4 linked regions of the Schizosaccharomyces pombe genome follow. Changing the gene in region 4 together with the main gene of any one other region gives a genetic interaction. Each region holds a gene or a part of one and is shown on either strand. Other genes may lie near its edges.

Region 1 (7,276 bases), 1.4 Mb from region 4:
ATTAAAAAATGCATTCGGTGTCGTTCGGGCAAATTCGACCAAAAGCACCTCTACAGTGACTACGGCTAGTCCTATAAAATATGACAGCTCGTTTGTTGGAAAGACTGGGGGTGAAATTTTCCATGATATGATGCTCAAGCATAATGTTAAGCATGTATTTGGTTATCCAGGTGGTGCTATCTTGCCTGTCTTCGATGCAATTTATAGATCTCCTCATTTTGAATTTATCTTGCCAAGACACGAGCAAGCTGCTGGACATGCAGCCCAAGCTTATTCCCGCGTTACTAAAAAACCCGGCGTTGTATTGGTTACTTCTGGACCCGGTGCTACGAATGTGATTACCCCGATTGCTGATGCATTGGCCGACGGTACTCCCCTAGTTGTATTCTCTGGTCAAGTAGCAACCAGCGCAATTGGTAGTGATGCATTTCAAGAAGCTGACATGGTTGGTATTTCTCGTTCATGTACTAAATGGAATGTAATGGTCAAAGATGTTGCTGATCTTCCCCGTCGTATAGACGAAGCTTTTGAGATAGCTACTTCTGGACGCCCTGGCCCTGTATTGGTTGACCTTCCCAAAGATGTCACTGCTAGCGTTTTGAAGGAGCCCATTCCTATACTGTCTTCTGTACCATCAATGAATCGCAGAATGAAGGAAGTCTTAGAAGAGGGCTCCAAGAACGTTACTGCCAAGATCGATCGTGTTGCCAATTTACTAAAATTAGCCAAGAAGCCTGTGATTTTCTGTGGGCATGGTGTTTTAGCTAATCCCGAATGCCCCACTTTGTTACGCAAGTTTAGCGAAAGGCTGCAAATTCCTGTTACTACTTCTTTGCTTGGACTTGGTGCTGTAGATGAACGTTCTGACCTTAGTTTGCATATGCTCGGTATGCATGGTAGTGGATACGCTAATATGGCCATGCAGGAAGCCGATCTTATCCTTGCTCTTGGTGTTCGCTTTGACGACCGTGTCACCGGTAACGTAAGTTTGTTTGCTCCTCAAGCACGTCTTGCTGCTGCCGAAGAGCGTGGCGGTATTATTCACTTTGATATTTCACCCAAAAATATCGGTAAGGTCGTACAACCTACTGAAGCAATAGAGGGCGATGTATACGAATCTCTAAAGCTTTTAGATTCTGCTACTAAAAATATTAAAATTCCTTCCCGATTTGACTGGTTATCTCAAATTCAAACATGGAAGGAACGCTTCCCTTTCACTTTCACTCGTAGCGCTCCTGGTGAATTGGTAAAGCCTCAAGAAGTCATTCAAGAACTTGACAAACAAACTTCTGACATAAAGGACAAAGTCACTATTACCACCGGTGTCGGTGCACATCAAATGTGGGCCGCTACATTCTATCGTTGGACAAAACCTAGTTCTTTGGTAACCTCCGGTGGTCTCGGTACTATGGGATTTGGTCTCCCAGCTGCCATAGGTGCTAGCGTTGCTGCACCTAAAGATATTGTTATAGATATTGATGGTGATGCTTCATTTTCAATGACTGGTATGGAACTTGCTACCGTCCGTCAATTTGATATCCCAGTTAAAATTCTTATCCTAAATAATGAAGAGCAAGGCATGGTCACTCAATGGCAAAACTTGTTTTATGAGAAACGCTATTCTCATACTCATCAAAAGAATCCCAACTTCGTTAAGTTGGCTGACGCTATGGGCATCAAAGCACTACGTGTAGAAAAGAGAGAAGATTTGGCTAAAAAAATGAAGGAGTTTTTGTCAACTAAAGGTCCTGTGCTTATGGAAGTTTTGGTTGCCCAAAAGGAACATGTGTATCCATTTGTCCCTGGTGGTAAGGCTCTTCACCAATTTATTTTGCATGAAAGCCTTTCATAAATTTTTTTGATTAATTTAAAAACAGCTATTTTGTAAGAGTCAGATGTAACACTTATTTAAACTTGCGTTAATTATCGTGTCACATTCTTTTAGACTCTGGTGGGCGGTTTGTCATTATTTACCCTAAAGCAAATTTGTTTGTTTTGCCTTGTTATCTTCGATTTTGGTTGTTTTTTTTTGTTTTGCTTTCTAACTATGGTTTACTCCGTTATCATAGCTTGTATTTAATTTTGATGATGGAGGTCAATAACATTACAAATTTTGCGAACATAGCAAATGAGAGTGTATAAAATTAATGTACATATATTTTAGATTTTGCCAATAAATTTTAGTAAGATAGTATTATCAATGAGTGCAATGCAATGTGAGCAGAGCGATACACCATGCGATGAATAATACCAGCACATGAATTACCATTTTCGTTTACGATTTTTTTTTGAAGTTTTGGTAAATTTTCTTCCATCTGAAGAATGAAAGGATAAATTGCCATTCTCCTCAGAAGGTGGGCTATGTTTTCTTTTAAAGCTTTTTGGCTTAGATCCCAGCCTAGATGCTAGAGAATTTCCTGGTTTGTGAAAAGGCCGTTGTTTCGACGATTTTTGATTTCGATTCTGCTCTCGCCTCTCCAATTGAAACTCTTTACGACGGGTTTCAAAAAACTCCTTGTTAGATGCATCATTTCCAGAAGGACAGTTCGCTTCACAAAATGCAGTGCTTTCAGGATAATTTGATCTAGATGGAAGAGTACAGTCGTCTCCAAAATGTTCATCAGATGCACAATTATAACAAAACTTTCGAACCTCAGAAACATCAATGCGAACAGGATGTTCTTTTTCGACATAATACCTCCAAATTAAAGGACACGTCGAACTAGTATGAGTATCGGTATGACAAGTCCGACAAACTCTAGGTCCTCTTTTTCGCGGCTCCGAACATCGCGCAGCTATATGACCCAGTAGTCCACAATTCATGCACTTCTTAGTCCAGGGGCATCTTACGGAAATATGATCATCAATTGCTCCACAAGTCGTACACTGTAATACAGTTAGTAACACTATTAAAAAAACAATGTCCGATCAAAATGCATACCAGAACATGAGGACAATCTTTAGATATGTGACCATTCCCTTTACAATTATGGCAAACTATACTTTCTGAGGGATCTGACCCGAAGTATCTACCCCTGCTCACCTAAATTTTATTAGTAAAAAGTATTAAAAAAAAACTTTTCAATCCATACGTCTGCCCATTCACTTCCTTCCACATCTTCCAAAGTACTATCGGAAAGATCCGTAGAGGAGTCATGGTCATCACTTCCTTGAAAATCATGCTTTTCCAAGCTCACCGAATTTGTGATACTCTGGTCAATCGGTAAAGAATTAATTTTTTGTAACAAGGCCGCATCGTCGATGTCTGAACCATCATCACTTTCTGCTTTTTGGTTTGAAACAGTCATGTCCATATATTGACAAGCAATGTAATAATGGCAAGCACAGTTTTCTTTAACACTTAACAGCCGGCCAGTAGTTTACTTCACAATATTCCCAATCAATTTAACAGTTTAAAAGCAAATAAAACATAAAACACTTCAAGTATTTAACTATCAAATGGAAATTTAATAGTTTCAGTAAAGGCAAAAAATTTTTGGTTAAGGTGTGAGTATTCACCTTACATGGATTATATCTGGCTTTCTCATGAGAAGTTTATTTCATTGAAATGAGCATGACAATAAATGAAATTCAATAAATAACTTATACTCCAAATTACAATTGTTCTCTCAAATGCAACACTTAATGCATAACCAAGAATGTCTGGTACTTAAAAGCCCTGATCGTGAAGAGATATTGAAAGTACAGCAGTAACTTAATTATATTAAAATATTAAATGATTGCACCTTCCCGACTCTTCAAGGCGTTGGATTTTAAAGTAGTTGAAAATTCGAGAGCTTCGTTTCAACACTTTGTAAAGCATAGATAAACAGTAATTTAACATTCAATGTTTAACTATGAACGTTCTTTGTATAGTTGTTGCTAATTGACATTAATTTCTTTTTAAATCATTTTAGCGTTTCAACACAGCTCACATTTATTACAAGACTCAACAACAGCCAAACACGCTAAAATGCCAAGATGTATGATACGATGAATAACAATAATTGAAAACTAATTAATGCTTAGATTTGTGTGATTACTGCCAAGTTTGGCTCACTCATGATAGCCAATCAGTTAGAAAAGCACACAATGCTGGAAGAGCCCATATACAAAATGTTCAGGACTACTATACGAAAGTAGCTCAAGAAGAAGCCCAAAAACAACTTGAAGAAAGGGCATCCTCTGGATTTTTAAAAAAGGGGAATGGTTCGCTAGACCTTCCTTATGCTTATGCGTTTCCTCGTAAGTTATTACTTTATAATACTTTTGTTGAATACGAAGTCTAATATTCCGAATTTTAGCCAAATATAATGTCTTTAACTTAGGATGTCCACCACCGCCCTACATTGTATCCGCAAATACCTATATGGCTCCTAAAGGAATGAATGCTATGAATGCTGCTGCATTCGTCCCTATGATGCCTGCTGTAAATTTAACAAACCAAGTAGCTTTTTCAGCTCCCCAGACTACAGCTTCTTCTAACACTCAACTTACACAACAGCAGCAATCTCTTCCTCAGACAAATGAACATCAACGCGCGCGTACTCATTCGAATGCTAATAACCATTTTACTAAAACCCACCATCAGGGTCAAAGAAGTCATCAAAGGTTTGTACGTGCTTAAAATGACATCTAAAAGATTAAAACTTGTTTGTTACTATTAATGTACTGTATAATAGCTATTGTTTATAACCGTTTACTACTGGTAATTCTTTCTCTTTGCGTTACGTAGTGAAATTTAAGGACAACTCCAAATACACAGTATTTACCAAGAATATTTAGATATTCATCTCAAAGCATGCCAAAAGAAGATGATTCTTTATGTAAAATAGTAGTACGTCGTGAACCGCTTGATGTTTTACTACCTTATTATGACGCGTCTGAAACCACCGTTCAAAAAATACTGCACGAAAATGACAGCACACTGAGTGTTAAATTCTTGGCGGGTGTTGAAGCATTGATAAAAAAAGATGAACTTGATAAATATAAAAATGGAAAAGCTTGTTTAAGAGTATGGTTAAAACACAAATCTCGAAAGAGGTACCATGGGTATATGACTTCAACCGATAAGGATGAGGAAGAGAAAAATGATTATTTACTGAAGTCTAATGGTAGTAAAGTCTTAAGGGACTCAACACGTACCAAGAAATTTAAGTTCGGAAAGGAATTTCACTGCGCACTTAATCCTTCATTTGTCAGTGATGAAACGGCTTCTGACAGTGCAACTTCATCTTCATCTGATACAAATAAGAAGGTTAATAGAAAAGAGCATAATGAGTTATCGTTGTCGCATTTATCTTTCAATGACACGTCCGACTTTGGTAGCTCCGATCTAAGTTCTTCGGAAATTGAGTCCACAGAAAACGATAATAAAGCTCCTTATTTCTCACTTCTTTACTCTGACGGATTTGATTTTATCAAATTTTTACACGTCTGTGTATGTGTCAAATGTCATGGACGTGAACATCGTTCCTCTGGTAAAAATTTTGTTTACTGTGATCATTGCTCAAATGTATACCACTATGACTGTTCTCCACTCCCTTCTTTAAATAAAGAAACGCGTAATTACTCTCAGCAAAATGGTTTTATATGTCCTTTATGTTCCAAAAACTCTAAGGACGTTTTGTGTAATACCGGGTTTGTTTCAGGCGTTTCTTCTGGACAGGATCTAGTTATCCCCCCATCCCTTGCTGATAGGGAATCTCTGTCAATTTTAGTCAATTACTGCAAGTCTATAAGGTTTCGGTGTTTTCGATGTAGGCGTGTCGAATATTTTTTTTATCTGGACAGTAATCCTTTGTCTATTCAGAGAACAATTACTCATTTTATAAAAAAACTTGTTTGTAATGAATGTTCTATGCATCCTTGTGATATTGAAGAGATAATTGCTTGGAGAACTCTAAACAGTTTATATCCTTCAAAAGCTACCCTTTCAAATAATTTTGTTAGTACATCGGACTTGAGCTTTTGGTCTAGAGAGTATTTCGTTCGAAGCAAAGGTAAGTCTTACCTTCACTGTTTTTGGTGTTCTGCTTCATGGCTAGCCGGTATTTCATTAGCTAAAAAGAAAAATTTCGATGGTTTGGAGAATGCCTCATACGACGCAACTAAGCCCATTATTCCAGTATCGTATACAATAATCGATAAGGTTTGGGATGTTCAATATAGAAGTGGAAAGAATGCTCGAACGGCAAAATATAAAACAAAAAAACATCAACTGAAGGCAATTTCTGAAGTTACATTCGCCTTTGTTTCTTGGCGTGGTTTAACTTATTATATGTCAAATTGGGAACCACCTCCTAAAGAAACAGATAGAAATCGCTGGAAAGCGTGGTTAAAAGGGTATTCGGACTTGTTGGAATGTCTATGGATCGAAAAAGCCCCTACAGCTTCGATAAATATTGATTTACCATTTACTAATCTTGAGTGGCACTCTCAACCAAGTTTTATCAAAGGTGGTACACTAATGCCATATCAACTGAAAGGGCTGAACTGGCTTTATTTACGATGGTACACACATCATCCTTGTATTTTAGCTGATGAAATGGGTTTAGGTAAAACTGTACAAGTAATATCTTTCATTAGTGTTTTATTTTACAGACATAAATGCTTCCCGGTACTGGTTATTGTCCCTCATGCCACTGTTGCAAATTGGGAACGAGAGCTTAAAAAATGGGCTCCCTTTCTACAAATTAATGTACTCGTGGGCTCTGAAAAAAACAGAAGTTTAGTCCGTGATTATCGTCTAATCAATCAAAAAGACCCAAAACATGTAAGCACTCATGTCCTCGTTATAAGTGCTTCAAATGTTGAACGTGAAATTTCATTGCTCCGAAAATTTCAGTGGAAAGTTTTAATTGTTGACGAAGGACAACGACTAAAAAATGATCAATCTTCCCTCTTTTATTACCTCTCTTCGGTTAAAAGTGACTTTAAGCTTCTTTTAACCGGGACGCCATTGCAAAATAATGTTCGGGAACTTTTTAATTTACTGCAGTTTTTAAATCCCATGAAAATAAATGCTGCTGAGCTTGAAAAAAGATACAGCATTATTGATACGGAAAAGGTGACTGAACTTCATCAAATCTTAAAGCCGTTTTTTTTAAGAAGAGTGAAAAGCGAAGTACTGGATAACTTTCCTACGAAGGTTGAAGTAATTATTCCTTTGTCCATGACACCTGTTCAAAAAGGTTTATACAAATCGATTCTTTCAAAAAATTTGTCTTTGCTACGTAATATTACCGGCTATGCTAATACCAGTTCTTCTGGAGGG
Region 2 (8,891 bases), on a different chromosome or scaffold from region 4:
TGTAGTGTTAAAGTACTGAAAAAATTTTTTACGTGCTAAATAAAAGCCAATTATATGGTATTAAGCATCTTGATGGATTGCAATAAATTTGAATACGCACCGTTTTATCTGATGTAAAAGCTGTTCTAATTTATTCTTTAATGAATTATATATTTGTATATGGACAGATAGTAAGACTCGCTCCATGGATTGCAAGGCACGTGAGTTCCGTGGATGTTGATAGTGCAAAATAATTAGAAGTTTTACATCGGGTAAAAATTTACTTGCAACCTTATTATCGTGCACTTATTTGGCAGATTGGACTTTACTATTGATTTGACAGACCCTTCTCTAACGTGTTATAGCCGGAAAGTTCGGCTTAGGAACACTTGCCGGTAAGTATACTATTCAACATAGCAAAGCCCTAAAGAAAATCTCACTAAAACCAAGTAAAATAAAACAAGTTAAAAAAAAAATAGCTAAAGACATCGTGACAAATTGAATAATATGTTTCATGAAATTTTTGTGTCAAATGATATTGATCAAAATGTGATACCGACTAAGTCAATCTTCATTTATGTGTATATGTGTGTGTAATTTTTTTAATTTTTTTTCCTACTGACCCAATGCGCTCTTTTTCCTATTTGATGGCCGAAAATTTAATTTCACAAATTTTGCTTCCATTTTCTTGTGACTTTACCATCAGAACTAGTGAGTAACGAAATATGCTAAGTTTTGGATAGGAGGAAATTTTACTAGTACGAAAAAATCTCGACTTTCCTCCATTAGCTGAACAAAGAAATATGCTTTTCCCAATCCGTATGCGGTTGATGTAACGGAATGTGTAAGGGAAATGACTATCTTTTAATTTAAATCTATTTTACGTTTATCACACTGACTACTCGGCTATGAAGGGGAGAGAATGTAATAGCGATAAAATTTTCAAATGTATTTCAATTACTTAGAAAAGATATTCAGTATCCTTTTTCTTTTTTGAAAGCATACAAATCATAAATAAAAACTCATATTGTTCATATACTGTTTGTCACATAACCCTTCGTATTACTAATACAAACAACGATAATTCAAGCCTTAGTAATTAACCTAGCGTTGCCAAATATCAACAATACAAAGTTCCGAATTGCCCTTGTAAATACGGATCTGCAAACTGGGAATTTGAGAGAAACAGCAAAGAGCATATACAAGTTTGCCATTGGGAATACAGGTGAGCTCCGACTCGTTCTTTAAAGAAAGCTATTCAGAAAGTGATTTTGAAATCCGAAATATCTTCTCATACGTCTCTGTATAGGTCTTCCTCAGTCACATTTGGATATCAAATCATTCATCGCATCTCATCATCATTATTCCTATAGATCCCATTTTTACTTATACCACACTTTGTCCTTTCTTTATCCTTAATACATTCATCCGTGGCTGCGCAAAACCAGTCACTGCCGCTGCTGTTAGACTTCGTAAAAACGTATAAGCAACGCTGGTGAAGGAGGAAAATACTTTGGTTATTTCTAGCAAAGTCAACAATACCCAAGCCCCGCGGAATTTTATCCGGACTTCGGCATTCATCCTCTCGCCTATAGAGGAGTAATATTACGGTAAACAAGCAACCACTTGTCTCTTCCGGTCTTTAAAATCAGCAATTCTCCTTGCTTTCCCTATTTACCATCCCTACTTCACAATTCCTTGATTGCTGTTTTTTTGTAAAAATTGGGTTTATTTTTCAACAGTAATCATTCCTTTGCTTGTAAAAGCCAGGAATTTTGGCTAGTGCTTTTAGCCTGCTGAAGTTTCATCACCCGTGAACGTGTGTAATTTAATTGCCTTCATTCGATAATCAGTTTTCACATTCTTTTGCTGTAAAACGAGAACTAGAAGCAATTGAGCCTTTTATTCGTCTTTTGAAGGCTTTAACGTTTGTTTGTTGTATTTTTAGAAAGCTCGAAGGTCGTATAGCTTTCCAACATTGTAGCTTCTAATTCACTTTATGAACTGCTTTGCAATTAGAAACCGGTAGGATTTGATCAATTGGCTTTATATATAGGCGCTATATTTTCTTTCTTTTTACATTTCTTTCTATGATGACTCGGATGGAATTAAGACCATTGGAAATTGGCTTCTCTAAAGCACTCACAGAAGTAGCTCCGGTAACTTGTCAATGCGAATGTTGGGATCATAATCTTTGCAGCTCTCAAGCTAGTGAGATGGATTTAATTTATCAGTCTCAGGATACCCATTCTTGTGCATCAAAGCAAGACGCCGTTTTTCAGTTGCTGAGTGAAACCAAGATCCCTGTTCCCAATCGTTATAGAAAAATTTCACATCGCTTGAGTACTCTATCTAATAAAAAAACTCTTAAATCACAATTAGATCGTTTTTTGTCTTCGTCCAAAAAATTACACAATGATGATGTTAATAGAGGTGATTACTGCTTTCTTCTTTCTACACCTGTCGAGTGTTCTGCTTCTACCAACTCTCATTCTTACGACTGTTTGTGGAATTTTTCGTGTAATTCATTCCCTGAATACTCCTCCTACTCTGCTTCGGAAACGTCTTCAGTCGCTTCTTACTCTTACTATTCGGGGCCAAATCCTGCAACTCCCAGCTCTTCCTCTTGTAACCTCGTAAACGCAAATAGCCTTGATATTTACTTGAATATTAACAACTTAAAAAAATCCAAATCTGTTCCTCGTTTAAGAGGTCAATGTATGTTCTTTTAAGATTTTTCAACCTTTTCTCTTATCTTTTATTTATTCATCGTTGCTAACAATATCATAGTTATGGAGCCCGTAGAGCATAACCATCCACTTTCTAAAAGTCTTGAGGAGCAATCCTCTTTTTTGGAACAATCAAAGGATGCTTCCTCTAACTTGACCGCCTGCAATAGGAGTGGCTCTAGTTTATCATCTAATTTCTACTCATCTAGGTTGTCCAAAAAAACATCTTTAGCATCTTTAAATAAGTCTCGAGCTTCTTTACAGCATAAAATAATGTCGCTATCTCGTAATATCATCAGACGTGTATTTCACAAGCCAGAAGTGCATTTGGATCCAAGTGCCTCCATTTTAAATCTCTCATCTTCGCATGGCGAAAGCAACCTGACAAATGGTTTGCTTTGTCAAAATTTCAAGCTTTTTCAGGATGATTGGTTGATGGAGGATTGTGCGCCAGATGCCAATTTCACTTTGTACACCCCGCTTCAACCCTGGGAAAAGCGAAGTGTGAAACCTGAAATCAGACGTCCTCGATTAAATCCTAATTTTTTCCGAGTATTTGTTTTAGAAGCTCAAATGCGACGAGCTGGAAAGCTATCAGCAAACACTGCTGGCCGAGCCCAGTTAATTTACCTCCCAAAGCCTGCCGTTACCTTCTCCACTAGCCCTTTGCATGTTGAATTGTAAAAATTTAACGCATGACTTATATACATTTGCATTCTTCCAAGCTGGTTATATTTATTTTCATTTTTTTCTCACCCAATACTTTTTTATCCCTACTGTCTTTATGGACAATCGACTCACAATTGTTTCTTTTTGTTGTATATGATTTTTTTTTTAAAGGAAATGGGTTTCGCGATACTGGGTTGAATCCCAATTGCGGTTAATATTACATAAAATAATTCTCCCATAGTCCTAGATCCTGTCTTTGAATATGAGCAAATAAAAGAATTGAACAAATCATGAATGCTTTTCTCTCTTAGATGATATTTTGTATGCATAAGTCTAATTATATTGATTACGATAAGACTTAAAAAGTAAGCCTTTGTATCCTTTTAAGCAGTATTTGAATTTTCTTGTATCATATTTTAGGTAGAGCAAAAGATACCAGTTTGTAGAACTTTATGTGCTTCCTTACATTGGTATATTTCAGGCACATAAATATTCTTCAACTTACAATTCTAAGTATTTTGTTTATACTAAAAGGAGCTGAATAACGTTTATACAGTGCTGACATTGAAATCTATTTGCTTTCTTTGGAATATAAGCGCATGCTGAGTTACTTTCGCAGGCCAAGCCATATCCAACCACCATTTTTGTGCCAAGCTTTTATGCAAGGTTAATTCCTTGTACTGCTTGTTATGTTATAATATATCAACATCTTAACAGTTTTCATATCTTCCTTTATATTCTATTAATTGAATTTCAAACATCGTTTTATTGAGCTCATTTACATCAACCGGTTCAATGCAAACAGTAATGATGGATGACATTCAAAGCACTGATTCTATTGCTGAAAAAGATAATCACTCTAATAATGAATCTAACTTTACTTGGAAAGCGTTTCGTGAACAAGTGGAAAAGCATTTTTCTAAAATTGAAAGGCTTCACCAAGTCCTTGGAACAGATGGAGACAATTCATCATTATTTGAGTTGTTTACAACGGCAATGAATGCCCAGCTTCATGAAATGGAACAGTGCCAGAAAAAACTTGAAGATGACTGTCAGCAAAGAATTGATTCAATCAGATTTTTGGTTTCCTCATTAAAGTTAACGGATGATACTTCTAGTCTCAAAATTGAGTCTCCTTTAATTCAGTGTTTGAATCGTTTGTCAATGGTAGAAGGACAATATATGGCACAGTATGATCAAAAGTTAAGTACGATTAAAGGTATGTAATCGTCTTTAATTTAGACTTGTGTTTTAACTGATGTATAGAAATGTATCACAAATTGGAGTCATATTGTAACCGCTTAGGAAGTCCGTTCGTTTTACCTGATTTTGAGAATTCATTTTTATCTGATGTATCCGATGCTTTTACTGAATCTTTGAGAGGACGCATCAACGAAGCCGAAAAGGAGATTGATGCGAGATTAGAGGTTATTAATTCCTTTGAAGAAGAAATTTTGGGTTTGTGGTCTGAACTCGGTGTTGAGCCCGCTGATGTTCCACAATACGAACAATTGCTTGAATCCCATACTAATCGACCAAATGATGTTTATGTTACTCAAGAACTTATCGACCAACTTTGCAAGCAAAAAGAAGTTTTTTCCGCTGAAAAAGAAAAGAGAAGTGATCATTTAAAAAGTATACAATCAGAAGTTAGCAACTTGTGGAATAAGCTTCAAGTTTCTCCCAATGAACAAAGTCAATTTGGCGATTCATCAAACATTAATCAAGAAAATATTTCATTATGGGAAACTGAACTTGAAAAACTTCATCAGTTAAAAAAGGAGCATTTACCCATTTTTTTAGAAGACTGTCGTCAACAAATTCTTCAGCTTTGGGATTCTCTGTTTTATTCAGAAGAACAAAGAAAGTCCTTTACACCTATGTATGAAGACATTATTACAGAGCAGGTTCTTACGGCCCATGAAAACTATATAAAGCAACTAGAGGCCGAAGTTTCTGCTAATAAGTCCTTTTTAAGCTTAATTAATCGCTATGCCTCTTTAATAGAAGGAAAGAAAGAGCTTGAAGCTAGTTCTAATGATGCCTCTCGTCTAACACAACGGGGACGCCGGGACCCAGGTTTACTTCTACGTGAAGAGAAAATCCGTAAGCGACTTTCTAGAGAACTTCCTAAGGTTCAGTCGCTGCTTATACCAGAGATTACAGCATGGGAAGAAAGAAATGGAAGGACGTTCCTTTTTTATGATGAACCACTTCTCAAGATTTGCCAAGAGGCCACTCAACCAAAATCATTATATAGAAGTGCAAGTGCTGCCGCAAACCGCCCGAAAACAGCAACTACAACGGACTCTGTTAATAGAACACCTTCTCAACGAGGGCGTGTAGCTGTACCTTCAACACCAAGTGTTAGGTCCGCTTCTCGAGCTATGACGAGTCCAAGGACACCGCTTCCTAGAGTAAAAAACACTCAAAATCCAAGTCGTTCCATTAGTGCAGAACCGCCATCAGCAACCAGTACCGCCAATAGAAGACACCCCACTGCTAATCGAATTGATATAAACGCTAGATTAAACAGTGCTAGTCGGTCTCGAAGCGCGAACATGATAAGACAAGGGGCAAATGGTAGTGACAGCAATATGTCTTCTTCACCCGTTTCTGGAAATTCCAATACCCCTTTTAACAAGTTTCCAAATTCTGTATCTCGCAATACACATTTTGAATCCAAGTCACCGCACCCAAATTACTCTCGAACTCCTCATGAAACGTATTCAAAGGCTTCATCTAAGAACGTCCCATTAAGTCCTCCAAAGCAGCGTGTAGTTAATGAACACGCTTTAAATATTATGTCGGAAAAATTGCAAAGAACTAATCTGAAAGAACAAACACCCGAGATGGACATTGAAAACAGCTCGCAGAACCTTCCTTTTTCTCCTATGAAGATATCCCCCATAAGAGCATCACCCGTAAAGACAATTCCATCATCACCGTCCCCCACTACCAACATTTTTTCTGCTCCACTCAACAATATTACAAATTGTACACCGATGGAGGATGAATGGGGAGAAGAAGGCTTTTAAGCTTCTTATTTACCTAATCGATCAAATTTAAATATACATATTTTTGCATATGAATACAGCATATAGATAATTCATAAAAGTTTATTAACTGAGGTCATAATTAAAAGACTATTTACACCTAAAAAAAAACGTGTATCAATAGAGGGAAAAGAGAAGAATTAAGAACAGAAAGTAACCATAGTTTTGTTAAAATAGCAATGTAAAAAAATATTATGAAAAGAAAACGTATAGCACATTTTGAAATGTAAAAGAATCTGAGAGAGCGTGTGAATATCTAGCAATTACAAGAAGATGTATTATTCAAAGGCTTTGAAAGAAGCAAAGGTTCAGAGAAGTCATTAACAAAGTCATCTCTCGAGCTTTCATTTTCTAAAGCTAAACGACTGACTGTTTCGAAAAGGTCAGTAACGTTTGTATTTTCTTTTGCACTAGCTTCAAAATGAATCATATTTGATCCATGTTTGGATTTGCAATAGTCAAGAGCTCGATGAAGAGATACGGCTCGTTTAGACGCGTCTTTGTCGATTTGATTTCCAACGATAATGAAAGGGAATGCACATTCATCTTGTGAAGTTTGATATAAAAATTCTTGCCTCCAGTTTTCTACTGAGTCAAAAGACTTCGAGTTATTCACATTATAAACAATTACACAACAATCGGCCCCTCTGTAAAAAGCCATTCCCAGGCTTTGAAATCGTTCTTGACCAGCAGTATCCCAAAGCTGTTTATAATTAGCAAACGAATTTAGATGGGCGGAACTTATATTGGAACTTACCTGTAATGTGACCAATTTGTCGTCAACCACAACGTCCTTGGTTAAAAAATCAGCACCGATGGTAGCTTTATATTCGCGACTAAACTTTTGATTGACGAACTAAAATGACGATGTTAACAAATTGCCAAAGCAATACTCATAGAGAAGCTGATGTAAAGATCGTTAACCATATTTGAGCTAGTATTTAATAACAAAGTGAATAAATTTTAAAAGCAATCACCTTGTAGCGACAAATAACAACTTATCGACATAAAATCAATGGGAAATTGCAGTATTGGATTTTACAGCTCAATACAAAAACCAAAAAGAAAAATATACTGAACGTATAAAATTTAACGCTTCAATTGATAACCACTACACCATCAATGGTTGAATTCGAGGGTAATGCTTAAAAAAGCTCGTCTGTACGATACGTCGACCACATCAGCAACTCCCCTAGCATTAACATACCTGATTCATTAAACATGTTTTTCCAACGCCACTATCTCCTAATATAACAACCTTTAAAAACACCCTTTTCTGAGCCGACATTGAAGTATATTCTGTCGTACCTGGTAGTAAGAAGTTCAGCCCTTAGAATGTCCATCTGGGACAGCATTGATAGTGTCTTTCAGTTTGACACATTACAGTAAGTAGCATTACAATACTTCGTTGCATAGCGTTGTTTTAAATACGAATCTTTACCGTAAATTTTTATAACAATATTTAACGAAAACGAATAACTCACTAAGTTTTTAATAAGATACATTTGCTTTCAATAGACATTACAGTGAAGGATCTAGTTATCTGACTACTATCCTGGGAAGTCAACTAGTACTGTAAGCAAACTAATAATTTGCTTTTACATAAAGAAAATCAGTGAATTTGATTTTATATTTCACTTTGAAAGTTATTGAACATTTACTGCTTACAACAAATTTGTTGAATGATGCTACTTGCTTTTTTTTGTAGCTAATCTAATGAGAATTTATATTTGTGCATAAAGTTCCTTTCCGTAAAACGCATTGTAGATATACGATTGATAAAAATGCTATTATATTCTCTGCATCAAAAGTATCAAAGAAAAAACGATTGTATCTGGTTAGTTAGAATTATACGATACAACTTCTTTTGGGTAATTCATGCTTTAGTGATAATAGTAAACGCTCCAAACGGGATTTTACTGTTTCCTTCCCCAATAAACTAATAGTATCGCTAATACCTCCTCCAGGCAGATTTCCACATAAGCCATATCGAAGTAAAGACTGTATTTTTTTCAAAGGCATCTGATGCTCCATGGCAATTTCTTTTAAACTAATCTGTATCTCATGAGTATTCCATTCGATGGTTTCGAACTTGTTTAAAATTGTTGTTAAAATTTTTGGAAGCTCTTCTACCGTGATGAGGGAGGAAACTAAACTTCTAATTTGTTGAAGGTCAGATGCCTCATAAAAATAGAACACTATCTTCTCAAACTCCTTAATCGTGTGCACTTTATTTTTTAAAAGTAGCAAGAGTTTTTTAGTGTAACTTTTGTCATGACTTCTAGAAGAATGAGAAAACTTTTGGATCAACCTCGGCTGAACCAGTTCGATAAGCTCATCGAGTCTGTTAACATCTGATATCGCTCTCCTCAGGTAATTTTTGTTTAAAAAGTAAAGCTTTTCAAAGGCAACAATTGAGGAGCTCTTTGTTAGTTTATCGATCGAAAACAGATCGATA
Region 3 (7,696 bases), on a different chromosome or scaffold from region 4:
CTCTGAGAGTCGTCATTAGAGTCTGGTGAATCTTTCACTCCATCATTTGAACCATCCATACTTAGGTCTTCTTTTTTTCGCTTCACTTTCCTTTTTTCTCCGTGTGAAGCAACATTCTTTGACTTTTTTTCAATGGAGTCTTCTTGGGTTATCCCATCCTGAAGTTCACCCATGCTTGAGGATCCCATCTTTGACATTTTTTATTTTGGTGGTATCACTATGGTGGTCGGCTATTCCGCGGGCAATGCATCTTCAGATCCTCGGAATACTAATGTGCTTATGTTGATTGCGAGTTTTTATTTGAATTGCAGGCTTTAGCATTGTCTTGTATTATATCCATTAACTAAGGATTTCAAATTTCTTTTTAATCCAAAAAATGTCACAATGACTACATGTTTACTTTAAGTGCTCAATGAGGATATACAAGGAATATACTCAGAAGGTTCAATAAATATTTGAATAAACGTATTTTATATTATACAAAAAAATTGAAATTAAGCAGATTCCAACCTTTTTTTATATTTTTTTCATTGCCTTTTCTGTAAACTCTCATCAATTTTGTTAATAATATCAATGATAATTTCGGAAGCAGGCGATTCAGGACATTCATCAATAAAGCTTTTTCCAAAATCACATGAACGTGCAATCAATGGGTCCAAAGGAATTTTACCCAAGAATGGTAGTCCCATTTCTTTTGCTAACGCTTCACCTCCTCCTGTAGTAATAGTGAATATATTAGACTTGCCTTTGCAAGAAGGACATACAAAACCGCTCATGTTCTCCACTAATCCAAGGATAGGGATGGACGCCTTTCTGCAAAAATCTATTTCTTTACGGACGTCTTGAAGAGCAACCTCTTGAGGAGTAGTAACTACAACAGCACCATCAATTCCGGAATTTTTAAAAAATTGAACCAAAGATAAATGTTCATCGCTAGTTCCCGGAGGAGTATCAACAATCAAATAGTCTAAATTTTCCCAGTTAACGTCTTTGATGAATTGTTTGATCAGCCCGTTTTTTTTGGGCCCCCTCCATATAACAGATGAATCTTCGCTTGGTAATAAAAATCCAATTGACATAACAGCCAAGTTAGGGCATACATAAATAGGGGACCAGCCTTTGCTTGATTGATGGGCTTCCTCCTTTTCAACACCCATTATTCTCGGAATTGAAGGCCCGCAAATATCCACGTCCATTAACCCGATCTGCTTGTCTTCTTCAAGCGATAACCCCCATGCTAATTGCGAAGAGAATGTGGACTTTCCAACACCTCCTTTACCTGATAAAACAAGAATTTTGTGCTTGATTTCTTTCAAGCGTTCTACAACCAATGGTAAATCTGGATCTTCTCCACGAGGTGCTGAAGCGCAAATTTGTTGATTAGGGCATCCTTCACATGCTGATGCAGTTCCTGCATTTTCAGATGACGGTCCGGGGCAATGCTCTGGTGCATCTAAAGGAACAGTTTCTTGGATTTGCATAGAAAAGCCAATATTAAAGCAAATGCTTAGTAAAAGTCTTTATTTCACGTGCTTAGTGAACTTTTAGTAGCTATTTTTGTAAACCACGTATGGTAAATTATAAGTGTAATCCGGTGTAAATTCTCTTCAAACGAATTTTTGCTAAAAGCTTTACCTCTTGTTTTACCACAATATTCTGACTAAGCTTGAAACCGTTTTACGATCTCTTGGCTAGTGGCAATGAGCTATATCGGTTTTCTACTAATCGAGTTCTAATTTTTTTACCGTAATACCCTAAAGTGTGTTAAAAGCAATGTTCATGAAAAAAATCACGTTGGAAGCATCGAAAATCAGATATTTCCAAATGAATTAAACGGCACTTAATTTTCCTTCGCTTCATTTTTACTATTCCAACAAATACATTACTTTACACTTAGCTTCTAATTTACCGAGAAACAGTTCATAAGATTAAAAAATAAAGAAACCGAAAATATAAAACCGATTTAAAGATCTTAGATTTGCACATGTAATTGAGTATTATACATGTAACCTTTTTAATGAACTTTCTACATCCGTCCTTTTTAAGCAGTAGAAGAAGCTTCAAGGGAGGGTCCAGCAGCTTCTTCAAAAGTGTTGGGTGGAACAGAGTACAAGCGTAAAATAGGTCTGTTGGGATCCTTTACAAGGACATATTTTCCATCAGGCATTTTCAAACAGACATCTGCAATAGTACGAACAATACCCCAACCATTAGACAAACTTAAGTTCATTTGGGAAGCCAAATCAGCAGGCTTATAAGCTACAACACCCAAAATGCCGTGGTGCTGAGCGTCACGGGCATTTGAACGACTGACAAAACCAACCTTCATGCTATCAACACCAGCCAATAAAGCTTCGACAGTCCAACGGGCAAGCTTGCAACTATTGTTCTTCATTTCAGTGGCAAACACAGCACCTCTTTGACTTTCGAGCTTGGAACGCCAATCCACAGAACCAGTAACATTTGTAAATTTGGGATCGTACTCATTAAGAGCCTTGATAGAAATGTATTGAACATCGTTCGCAGGATTTTTAACATAACCGTCAACTTCGGTACGAACCATTAGCTTAACAGGCTTTTCGTCTGTCTCGAGAGAAAGATCAACATCCCGATAGATATAACCGTGAGCAGCCAATGGCTCACTTTCTTCCTTAGAATTATAGAAGGGATTGGGATGAGGTAATTTATATTTCTCTTCTTCGGTTTCACGTAAAGCTTGGACGCAGAAGTTTTGGTTAATGTACGTAGCTTCGACAGAAAGGGCTCCAGGAGAATTAACACCTTCGCGGTTGTCAGCGTCCATGGGAGAATCGTATGCGTTTTCATTGACAGTGAGATAATCAAAAGGTCCGCCTTCACGTTTGTCAAAGAATAGCTTTCCACTTTGGTGAGTAATTACAATATCCCAGGGATACACTGAGCGAGTTGAACACATCAATAAAGACAAAATGGAATCCGTAATGAAAATGTTAGCATCACTATTAAGAGCGAGTTTTTGGATAACGGGGTCTTCAGTAGTGGTAGGGTTGTAATGAACACGGTCCAAGGCTTGTAATGGTTTTTCTGATTTAACATGAATCTTGTCAAAAGATTTGTCATAAGGATAAATATAACCATATGAATCCACAGTAACAGGAGCAGCAGCAGCTAAATTGAGCTTAGATAAATGGCTGAACTCAACCTCGTCAAGAAGCTGCCAGTCGTCACCAACAGTAACACTGGCGTTGCGAAGACGTTGATGTTTATCATAATCCTTCCAACCAAACCGACGACCTCTTGCTCCTCCAGCGCCTGAGGATCTAGAAACCACTGTATCACCTGCACCTCTTCCACCAGAAGAACCGTAGCGACCGCCACGACCACCTCGTTGAACGTTTTGTCCTCTACCGCGAACCTTCAATAAAGTGCCGCCGTTGCGAGCGGAAGTGCGTGTACGATTGACAGAACCACGATCGATCACCGAGAAACTGGATTCGTCCTCCGAATGCTGATAACCAAAAATGGACGACGCGCCATAACCATAAGTTTGATATTGGTCACGGAAACGACCAGCAAATGCTCCTTGACGTCCACGTTGTTCACGTCCATCTTTAGGTTGATCAACAGACCAATCTGCAATTTTTCCAAGACGGTCACCTTTACTAAAAGGAGCATAAGGAATATCACCTCCTATCTGTTCCGTTTCAGGAGGTCCCCATGCTGATTTTACGGGTGCTAACTCAGGCAATTTAAATCCAGTTGCCATTTGGGAGTGGTGAAGTTTTCTTCGAAGTGGACGCCAGTATAGTGTGCAAACGAACTGGGAGACGCTAAAACACCAAAGCCAACAATGGTAATATTTGAAGTTCTAAAGCTTTATTTGTAATACAAAAGTACTTAAATGTAATATATATACTTTTTGGTTCGTGAAAAAGTTAAATGTTATACATTTCCTTTTGCAATCAAGGTGCTATATTTGTAGAAAAACTACATCTATTAACAATTAGTATATGTTACTGTATTTATCAAACTACTTCTTTATTTGTGAACCCACATGCCTATTCAGAAGACGATATGTGGAAATCTCAACCACTCACTACATTATAAAACTATAGTAGGTAGAATTACTTTATCATACTAGCAGGTTATATCAGCACTAAATGTTATTAAATTAAAAAATGGGAGAAATTGATATTGAAATAAAAGATATGTTATGCTATAATTTAAAACTGATTACGACATCAGACTTTGCCTTTATAGTCATTGTCTCAAGGCTTAAATGTTTCTGACAAAAGCATGTTTTAGAAAATTTTAATTTCGTCAACGCTGTCTTTTGAAGAAAGAAAAAAATGAACGCCAAGGTTCTCAGACATTCTCTCTTTTCTGTCATCACATGTCGCATAAAAAATATACACATCTAATCCTATTAAAACAATTGTTTGCGAAGAAATTAATGTATAAAAACGGAAAGCACCAAATATTAAGCAGTGTTAAATGACCGCAAAAGCTGCTAAGTAGCAAAGGAGAGAGTTTAGTGCATCACATGATAAAGGATCGCATTGACAGCCTAGCACACGCAAGGAAAAAGAATGATAAAGTATGAATTTAAAATATTAATAATAATGATGGAAATATGTGAGGTCTCTATTAAAGAAACGGAACTAACTTCCTCCAACCCCGTTTTCTTTGCGCTAATCCCTTATAATGATTTATTTCATCTAGGCAGTCCCTTCCATAATTACAGCCTGCCAAGTTTACCAAGAAGTCTCCTTCTTTTTGGTTATAAAAGAAACGAGGATTTTCACCTTCACCAGCACAAGCACCTGGAGGATATGAATTGAAAAGGCGAAGAGGAACGAATCCCATGCCGCTTCGAAGCCAAGCATTATTCTCGTAGAAGTACTCAATTGCATTTTGCTCATCGTGAGGCCAATCCATGTGCTTTTGCCCATAGACTACTGGATCCCAAAGGAAGTCCATCAATCTGCTAGTCCAATCACTTCGACGAACCAGAAAAGAACCCAAACTGAAACCGTTGCAATCTTGCCCTAAAATAAAGTTGATATCTTCACTATAGTCAACAAATGGAATTTCGTGGAAATTTTTTGGATTGAACTCCATGCTATCAGTAATATTCCTGGTCGCAATATGGTCAAGTCTGTTAATAATAAGCTTTTCAAGAGAATATTGAGGTTCCATGATGAATGTTGTTAAATCGACCCACCAAAACCATTCAGCATGAGGGTATTTCTTCATGGCTTCCATGATATAATCTGCTTTTTCCCAAGATTCACGCCATTCATGAGCATATCGTCTCTTTAAGCCTGTGCTCTTCACAAAGAAATGATATCCGTGCCTTTCAGCGTATTTCTTCTTGTTCTCCGTTGAAATCTTCTCCAGCTCCCATTGTCTGGGACTTTTTACATCTAAAACGCCACCTCCGATGTTATTGACAAATATCATAACAACATTACTCTCTTTGGGACGCGTCAAGAGTGTATGCTTTAAAAAGTAGCCTGAGCAGAGCAACAGTACCACAAAGACGAATAACCTATGTAGATGCGTCTTGGTAAAATACTTCCTTCTAGTATCACCTTCTTTGGAATCAAGTACATTGGAAGTGCCTGGCTTAGGGTAAGGAAAGGATTTAAACTTAGCTAATGCTTCTGACTTCTTTTTGGGGTTCCACATTTTTTAATATAATATAAGACTCGACGTTTACGTTAATTCTTCTTATTAACCTTTAAATTATATATTTTCGAATGATAATATGACTACGGCAATGCCGTTTGAGGTTTCACACAGAACTAGGCTGTTTGGCAAAGGCGAAAGTCGTGAGCAAGTAACGTCCCAGTGTATCAAAGCTGGCATAGCCTTGTCGTCGAGTAAATAGCCAAAGTACGCGATAACGTCGGTAAAGTTAAGTAGATTCTGATTGCATAATTTTATTTATTTGTTTACTCAAAAAGTTTTAGCACTTTTATTCTCGCGTTCATCTACTCAGATATGCTAAATAAATTAGCGATAGAAATTTTCCATAAAATATGTCAGTTGCAAAGACTCTGACAGATTTCTCATGGTTTGACGATGAAGGTATTTAGTTTAGTAAACAAATAATTATCAGCTACCAACTAATTTAACAATTCTGTTTTAGGAAAAGTGTAAACAACCATGAGAAGGAAACTTGGCAGCAACTCGAATTAAGGATTCGGCATGTAAAAAATTAGATATTGTTAAACAATCATTCTAATGTAACAATTGATAAAACATCACTGAAATTCTGTTAAATGAAACAATATTACTAATATTCGATTCAGCATTTAAGACATTTAATTAATCCTCGTTATTTGCCATCATGACAACACCGTGTTTCGTCGTATTTTCATACGCGCTATTATATATCGCTTGCAATGTTTATTCATTCATTCTATATTATAAGTGTTGAAAAATATTTAAATTTATTTATTTTTTAAACCAAAATTAAATTCAACTGGTATATATCGCTCTTGCTTCATTTTTCTTGTTTCATACGTGAGGAATCTATCGGTTTTACATAATTTTTTACGAATTAACGAAGTTCGTTATAGCATTTTACTATTAGTAAATAGCGTTATTTTCATACTATATCTTATTTAAAAATTGTGCATAGCTCCGTTTCAATAATGACAATGTTAAACGAGTTTTGCATATGTTAACAACGAGAAAATGCCTCTTTTTAGACCTCCTTATTCGTAAATGACTAGGAAATCCTTCTGCCTGAACCTCTAGTTCTCCAGAAAATCGTTAACATGGCGTCGCTCTTTGATATCAATGCAGCTGCTGCTGTAAAGTAAGTGTAAAATTTTACGAATGCCTGTATTAACAATTTAGGGATTATTCCATAAAACCTCGACTCTCTTACAATACTGTAAATTCTATTACTGGTCCTCTAGTAATTTTAGAGTACGTTTTCTGAGCCTTTTAGCCGTACTTTGATGAATTATTGCTAACTCTGCTATAGCAACATTCGTAGACCTCAGTACAATGAGATTGTTAATCTAAACCTACCGGTAAGTGCCCTTGAGAAATTATATATCTTGGAAGATGTGTTTCTTAATGTCTTCTGTTTCTTATTTCGTTACTTTATTAATGCTAATTAATAGGATGGTTCCGTTCGTTCTGGTCAAGTCTTAGAAGTTGCAGGTCATAAAGCCATTGTACAAGTTTTCGAAGGCACTTCTGGAGTCGATGTTAGAAAAACTACCATTGATTTTACTGGTCATTCCATGCGTATCCCTGTTTCAGAAGATATGCTTGGTCGTGTTTTCAATGGTTCTGGTTTACCAATTGATAAAGGACCCAACTTGCTTGCTGAAGATTATCTTGATATCAATGGTTCTCCTATCAATCCTTATGCCCGTATTTATCCCGAGGAGATGATTCAAACTGGTATATCTTCGATTGATGGTTTAAATAGTATTGCTCGTGGTCAAAAGATTCCTATCTTTTCTGCTGCTGGTCTTCCCCACAATGAAATCGCTGCTCAAATTTGTCGTCAGGCCGGTCTTGTAAAACGTCCTACTAAAGATGTTCACGATGGTCATGAAGATAACTTTTCCATCGTGTTTGCAGCAATGGGTGTTAATTTAGAAACCGCCCGTTTCTTCCAACGTGATTTCGAAGAAAATGGATCTTTTGAGCGTGTTACCCTTTTCCTTAACTTGGCCAATGACCCCAC
Region 4 (6,993 bases):
GTAGCATTCAAAAGATTCCACAAATATTCCAGCATCTCGGATGGGAACATCAATTATGCTTTGTATGCCATTTTGTAAATAAATTCGTATTAACAAATAAGCAAACGTAAGGTTAAATAAAGCATCACCGTCGCATCCGGTAGTTTCAACATAATATAAAGTGTATAAGGAGGCATGGAATATATGCACAAATTGAGTACCTACGTCTGTCATATCAACATTTATGGGCTCTGAGGCAACTAAATCTAGAAATCCGAGAATAAAATCTTGGTCAATGAACAACTTGTTAGAGAAAAAAGGAATGCAAGAGGATATTTTTGCATCCCAAAAAGAGGCAGGAAACGTAAAGAAGTTTGAAGGGAGTTTTCCAAACGAATTGAAAACAAGAACACACTTATCAGCAGCTAACTTTTCATTTATAGAACCATTCAAAACCTTATTCAATGACCATTCCTGCACTTCTGAACATAGTTTAAGAGAAAAACCGGAATCTTCTAATGCTTTCTCTTTCAATAGGGAGAAGATACTTTCAAAATGAGCTGCAACATGGCCATCATCTTCTGGTTTACTGAAAAGGATCACAGGAAGCAAAGAATACAAGGATTTATTTTCATCAAATATTGTTGGAAGATGAGCTTTCAGAGAATGCAATGATGCGCACAAAATAATCAAATGATTATCAACCCAATCATTCGTAAGAAAATACTCCAAGGTCGTAAACAAAATATTTTTAATCGTTTCTTCTGGAACAAGGATTTCCTTAGACCCAATGCACGCTCTTATCATATCCCAATCGTTTCCTGGGTTTTGCATAATAGCAAATACTGCTGTATCATAGTATTCTACTAATGTTTTTACCAAGGAAATTTTCCCCCTTAGTTTTCCATCAGCAAACAAAGAGGGAAGACTATTTAAAACCCTAATATTTTCCAGTTCATCAAAGGACACTGTGAATTGATTAGCAACATTTTCCCAAGGCTCAGAGAGATCCGCGTAATCTTTAAGAAGTAAAAGAATATCACGAAGCAAAGTAAAGGCTGGAGATTGAGGCCCAAGCTTTAAAATCGAAGAAGGCAAATCATTCACCAAATATTTTTGAAAAAGTTCCTTAACGGGTTTAATCAATGTAGTATCACTGAATATGTGACAAACAGTTATTAACTGGGATGCCGATAAACATGCAATACGTTCATTTTTGTGGGTAGACAATTTCATTAAAAATGACAAACAAGGTCCCAGAATCGACATGACTTCATTTCCAGTTTGAAAATTTCTATTTTTAAGATATAAAACTGTTTGAACGGTTAAGCTTAAGTTACGTGATAAAGAATCAAATGGGATAGTTTCAATGTCCATAGATTCATCATTAAAGAAACCAAATAACACTTCGTTCCAGAGCGAGGCGAAATCTGAATTTTTATCGAATACACTTTGCAAGCAATGATCGAAATCAGACGTTGAACAGCGTAGAACAAATTCACCTTTAAAATACCTGGTAAATATAGTCCTTAAACGGTCACGGACATGATCCTTAATTTGAGGATCGGAAGAATCGGTATAAACAAATGACAAGAAATTGAGTAAACAGTCATAAACTTCAGTAGATAGGAAACGTTGTTCTTGATTTGCAGTTTCTAAGAATGCATCACACAATTCGTCTACACTTTCAATGGAAGGAACGAGCTGCATAGCGCCTATACTTTTAAACAAATTCAGCAAGGATGTGTAAAACCCAGAATTAGGAAGGCTGATTCGCTTGGTGATCAAATTTGAGAACAACTTTGAAAGAGGACGTTTTGAATCATTTGCAAATTGGTGAACCTCGTTGGGGAAATTAGAAATCATGTTACTAAGAAGCCTAAGCATAGGGACGCAGGTCAAACTAGTTAGTCGTGAAATCATTCGTGAAACACGTTTAAAATATTTCTCTTTATATTGGGTAACAAAAGGTTTATCATACTTCAAGATAATGAGCAATAAATCGCTCAGGCTCACTGTGACACCATCCTGAGGTGAGGAAACCAAAGACCAAAATTCGTCAGACTTGAAAAGTGTAGACAAGTTCTCGTAAAGAGATGACTTAAAGGTTTGCTTATCTATCTTCTTATCTGTCTCTAGATTTTCTAAATCGGCAGTCTGTTTGAAAAGAAAAGAAAGGGTCAGAAGACAGCTAGATTTAACTCTGGTAACTTTCGATTCAGCTTCTTCATTTGAAAAAAAACGCAAATCCGTTAACGATTCTTTGTCTTCATGTAAAAAAACATCAGTGACTATAGGTGCGATAGTAGATCCAAACTTCAGCCAAACATGGGGCCACTTTTCTTCGGAGAGTAAATTTTTAAAAGAGTCTTTTGCTGATACAGAGACTGCACGATCTGAATCAAAAAAACCCATAACCCAAGGTGTGATATAGAATTTGAGCCATGGTGCAAGTTTTTTTTGAAGCGCAGAAGATAGAACAGACATGAAGACAAAGATTTTTAACCGCACATGTCGTTCCACTTCTATAGATAGTCGAGGAAATAAAACTGCCAAAGCATTTAGAAACTGTTCATTGTCAAACTGTGATGGGTCATTCCACTGAATTAAATCTTGTAAAGCTCGACATTTCGTTACGATGTCACGCTTTTGCAAATTCTTCACAATAACAATCATTTCTGCGTCTAAACCAGACAAGTCTGGAGGCTCATATATCGTACTAAAATTTGAGCTGGACTCATCCAACGCAATTTGCAAGGATGAAAACGATCCTGACATCGATTGCATCCCGGGATTTTTACGGCTATAAAGAGATTAGCATTTCGGCACATACATAAAGAAAAAAGAATCGTTGTATTTTTAAACAAACTTCCCCAAAATATGGAAAAGTATGGATTTGTAATAACATAGGTGTTCTGCATATATCCAATGAGAAAGACCCTATTTTGTGTGCAAACCCATTTTGTTACCATCTTCTCACATCTTTACTTACCCGTATAAATCCGTAGATTTTTTTTTCATCTTTTTTTTTAGTTTACAATGCAATGGAATGCAGCGGATCAATTTGGCACAAAGAATGAAAAATTACAAAGGAAATCAGATATCAGTCTGTCCGACGTTATCATAGGTTATTGATAACGTTGTTTTAAGCAATTCATTGTGGTATGCAATGCTTTATAAACTGATACTTTAAAGCTTAACTATTTGTGATGACGGAAAAGGAATTAAGTAGCTTGCTAAACTGTATATCATGTCAGCAATACTACACTACGCTATGATACACTACGTTGCGTATCACTATATGTCACATGTTCTAATTATATATCGTACCATGTATGATACGATATGGAGATTGATCTTAATGATAATCTATTAAGATCAATATTATCTGAATACTATAAATAGAGCTACTGCTGAACCTCGTTCCTCAGTTCAGTTATGAGCTATATTAGTGATAGGTAACATTATAACCCAGTTAATACAATACCTATACTCAGTTGCTACTTATACAACCTGTGTATTGTAATATAATAGATCACAAGGAAAACTCACCGCAGTTCTACGTATCCTTAAATCAGATACCAAACTGCGTAGCTTACATATCAGATTCTTTAATTGCAATCGCAAAACTTATTTAAAGTAACTTATCAAACGGTGTCATCTACAAAATACCTTATCTAATTTAAGGATGCAGTAAAAATACGATGATTTTTATTGCGATCTGTTCAATATTGCGTTAGTTACAGAAAACGTTGGAAACTTGGTTAGTATGATGTGACTATCCAGCAAAATTTAAAGATTTTACGCAAAAGGTTTATAGAACATAATTCACTGGTATCATAGGAATCAATTACAATTTGACAAACTGCAATTCTATAGAAGTCTTCAAACTAAGACATTGAATTATTAAGATATGCAACATGTGTAAGGTTGGCAACTAACGTAAATTATTTAGCATTGTTGCGTTAATGAAGTTTTACAGCAATCTCTAACGAGAATTTAGGTTTTACGCGCACGCCGTATGAAGGAGGTAGTACACTACGAAAAGAAGGACTCCCTTTCTACCGTGTCTTGTCTTGTAAAATTAGTGGAGATGATGCAAGTATAGTGCATAATGAATATTGCTCAAGAGGTTGCTGTTTTACAATATCTTGATATTCAGCAAGAAAATCCTAATGCTCCCAACGAAGAACTCTTCAATCGAACGGCAGAAAGCAGCCTGCTTTTAGAGCCAATTGAACAAGATCAATTAAAGGATCTGGTCGAGGAATGGATGCATGATAGCAATAAATCTGATTCAAAGCTTCTCTCCAACCAAGTTTCTCAAAACGATAATGATGCTCGAAAAAATCTACGAAAAAGGCTGCGGAACGATGTCCTAAAGGATTTGGCTGAAGAGATACAGGGATGTGAAAAAAAACTGGAAAGCTTATATGAAGAGGTTGCAAAGGCAAAGGCAAAAGCTGTGGAGGATCAACTCGCACTTGAAGAAGCTGACAAGGAAGCAAAAAAAGCGAAAACTGAAGCTCCTGTAGAGGCTGCTAATAAATCTCTTCGTTCTAGAAAGAAAACACCAGAGATTGCAGCTCCTGCAAATATCGAACCCGAAGTTGCACCCACAACTAAGACTCCAAAAAAGCGCGCTGCCCTGTCTAATGAAGAAAAGCAGTCTTTGAAAAAGTTCCAAAGTGCAATGCTTCCTATGCTCGACAATATTTCTAATCACAGGTTTGGAGCACCTTTTAGTCATCCTGTAAATCGTAAAGAGGCACCAGATTACGATTCTTTAGTTTATAAACCTCAAGACTTACGAACATTGAAGAATATGATCAAAGAGGGTAACATCACGGAAGTGGATGAATTGTATCGAGAAGTTCTTCGAATCTTTGCTAATTGTAAAATGTACAATGGCAGCGATCCAGCCAACGCCATGTCCATATGGGGAGATGAATGTTTTCGCTACACAGAAGAGCTTTTCGATATTTATCGTCAGGCAAGTACCCGTTCTCAATGAGTGTTTTACATTTTAATTATATTCCTTAACATTTTTTGTTTATGCTTTGGATTCATATCATTTTTTGGCTATAATTTTGACGACTTGGGGGTACATATTTTTTAAATGGTACTATATTTTATTTTTATCAAATTTATGTTTTTTTTTATATCATAACCGTGTATTTATTTCGTATAGATTCAAATCAAGTATGAGATAATTTACAATTTAGTTTTTTGTAACTATATAACAGCTGGTAAAAAGTTTCAACTTCCATACGTTCATATAAAAAAAAAATAAAATCTTCAATAGGTAAAATTAAGCGTTCTTCAATGTTGACTCCATTCTATAGTACTAAGATCGACACCCTCCTGAACCAAATCCCATAACGGGCTCATATTCCTTAAGAAAGAAACTTGTCTACTCACATTTTCAATAGCATAATCAATTTCGGCTTCAGTTGTAAATCGGCCAATACCAAAACGAATAGAACTGTGAGCATTTTCATCACTCTGACCAATTGCACGCAAAACGTAAGACGGTTCTAGAGATGCGGATGTGCAGGCAGAACCAGAAGACAGCGCGATATTTTTCAAACCCATAAGCAACGATTCCCCTTCTACATAATTGAAAGAAATGTTGACACAACCTGGATATCTAGATTTAGGGTCGCCATTCAAAGATGTATATGGGATTGCAAGAAGGCCATCTATTAATCTTTGGGATAGTTTGGAAATATGTGCATAATCATACTTCATTTCTTCTTTGCATATACGGGCCGCAGTACCAAATCCCACTACTTGAGATGGAGCAAGAGTACCACTTCGTAAACCTCGTTCCTGACCTCCACCACTAATAAGCGGCTCTAAACGTACACGAGGACGTCTTCTAACATAAGCGGCTCCAATTCCTTTAGGGCCGTAAATTTTGTGAGCAGAAATAGACATTAAATCAATGTTCATTCGATTGACGTCAATGTCAATTTTTCCATATCCTTGAGCAGCATCTGAGTGAAAGAAAACCTTCTTCTGTCGACAAATTTTGCCAATCTCTTCTAGTGGTTGACAAACACCAATTTCATTATTGACGGCCATTACACTTACACAAACAGTATCAGGACGTATGGCGTCACGTAATTCATCCAAATTAATAAGGCCATTAGTTTGAACAGGTAGAAAAGTAACTTCAAACCCTTCTTCTTGGAGAGCACGTAAGGAATCCAAAACGCATTTGTGCTCAGTTTGAACGGAAACAAGATGCTTTTTCCTACTTTTGTAAAATCGGGCAACACCTTTCAAAATAGCATTATTTGATTCAGTTGCGCCAGATGTAAAAATAATTTCTCTTGGATCAGCATTGATTACAGATGCTATCTCTTGGCGTGCATTTTCAACAGCTTTTTCTGCTTCCCAGCCATAGGCGTGTGTTCGACTATGTGGGTTTCCATAAATTCCAGTGAAGAAGGGAAGCATACTATCTAGTACACGATAGTCGAGAGGAGAGGTAGCTTGAAAATCCATATATATAGGATGCAATCCCGTAACCGTACTAGCAGCGGTTTGTGCTTGATCCAAAGTTACTGTTTTCAAAGAATTTTCCGGTATGGGCTCTTGAACCGCCGTCATGTTTCCTAGCCCGTACATTTGTTCACGAGGTTTATTGCTCATTGAAGGTTTGTCCATACGACTGGAAGTCATAAACGACCTACCGTAAACTCCAAGACTCTGTCTAACATTATTAATATCCTGACTCTCTCGCTTGACAAAAAATAAAGCACTTCGTAGTTCAAGAAGGCATCTTGCTCTAGAAAGCATCAAACTTCCCATTTTGGACATGGTTGTTTCCAAAATAGAGGAAATTTTGCTAATTCTTTATTTATTTCCTAAACAACAAGAAACAAGTCCTTTTTAAAATAATTTGGCAGTTGCTAAGTTCAAATTTTGCGATCTGACTAATAAAAATTTTGGTTGGCGGCGTATCTGAAACCAACCAAAACTAAGCTTCGACCCAATACATGTAGA

The links.
Region 1: mutations in bdc1 (region 4) and air1 together harm fitness more than expected from each alone (negative genetic interaction), as found in Schizosaccharomyces pombe (2 studies listed by BioGRID).
Region 2: mutations in bdc1 (region 4) and ase1 together harm fitness more than expected from each alone (negative genetic interaction), as found in Schizosaccharomyces pombe (2 studies listed by BioGRID).
Region 3: mutations in bdc1 (region 4) and gmh5 together harm fitness more than expected from each alone (negative genetic interaction), as found in Schizosaccharomyces pombe (2 studies listed by BioGRID).

Annotation. Positions count from the first base shown.
Region 1 is NC_003423.3:977,267-984,542, forward strand, and holds air1 (TRAMP complex zinc knuckle subunit Air1), read right to left. Parts: upstream 3,503-7,276; 5' UTR 3,315-3,502; coding exon 3,093-3,314; intron 3,044-3,092; coding exon 2,942-3,043; intron 2,887-2,941; coding exon 2,263-2,886; 3' UTR 2,092-2,262; downstream 1-2,091. Other genes in the region: ilv1 (acetolactate synthase catalytic subunit), read left to right, coding at 1-1,852; U1 snRNP-associated protein Usp103, read left to right, coding at 3,974-3,983, 4,030-4,245, 4,305-4,627; SHREC complex ATP-dependent chromatin remodeller Mit1, read left to right, coding at 4,802-7,276. UniProt on the Schizosaccharomyces pombe protein: Component of the TRAMP (TRF4) and TRAMP5 complexes which have a poly(A) RNA polymerase activity and are involved in a post-transcriptional quality control mechanism limiting inappropriate expression of genetic information.
Region 2 is NC_003424.3:1,874,190-1,883,080, forward strand, and holds ase1 (antiparallel microtubule cross-linking factor Ase1), read left to right. Parts: upstream 1-3,999; 5' UTR 4,000-4,172; coding exon 4,173-4,596; exon of another isoform or gene 4,597-4,643; coding exon 4,644-6,415; 3' UTR 6,416-6,537; downstream 6,538-8,891. Other genes in the region: SPOM_SPAPB1A10.08 (uncharacterized protein), read left to right, coding at 2,070-2,697, 2,770-3,392; GTPase Ypt71, read right to left, coding at 6,690-7,136, 7,191-7,289, 7,641-7,721; glutamyl--tRNA (Glu) ligase Mse1, read right to left, coding at 8,282-8,891. UniProt on the Schizosaccharomyces pombe protein: Required for anaphase spindle elongation and microtubule bundling in both interphase and mitosis. Has a role in spatial and temporal regulation of septation and cytokinesis and ensures equal partition of segregating sister chromatids.
Region 3 is NC_003424.3:4,547,900-4,555,595, reverse strand, and holds gmh5 (alpha-1,2-galactosyltransferase), read right to left. Parts: upstream 5,807-7,696; 5' UTR 5,671-5,806; coding exon 4,627-5,670; 3' UTR 4,354-4,626; downstream 1-4,353. Other genes in the region: rex1 (putative ribonuclease H70), read right to left, coding at 1-173; Fe-sulfur cluster assembly ATPase Nbp35, read right to left, coding at 528-1,481; moe1 (translation initiation factor eIF3d), read right to left, coding at 2,042-3,745; vma2 (V-type ATPase V1 subunit B), read left to right, coding at 6,768-6,808, 6,850-6,921, 6,980-7,028, 7,122-7,696.
Region 4 is NC_003423.3:2,422,574-2,429,566, reverse strand, and holds bdc1 (bromodomain-containing protein 1), read left to right. Parts: upstream 1-4,042; 5' UTR 4,043-4,093; coding exon 4,094-4,993; 3' UTR 4,994-5,152; downstream 5,153-6,993. Other genes in the region: rkr1 (ubiquitin-protein ligase E3), read right to left, coding at 1-2,782, 2,972-3,000; cysteine desulfurase Nfs1, read right to left, coding at 5,302-6,807.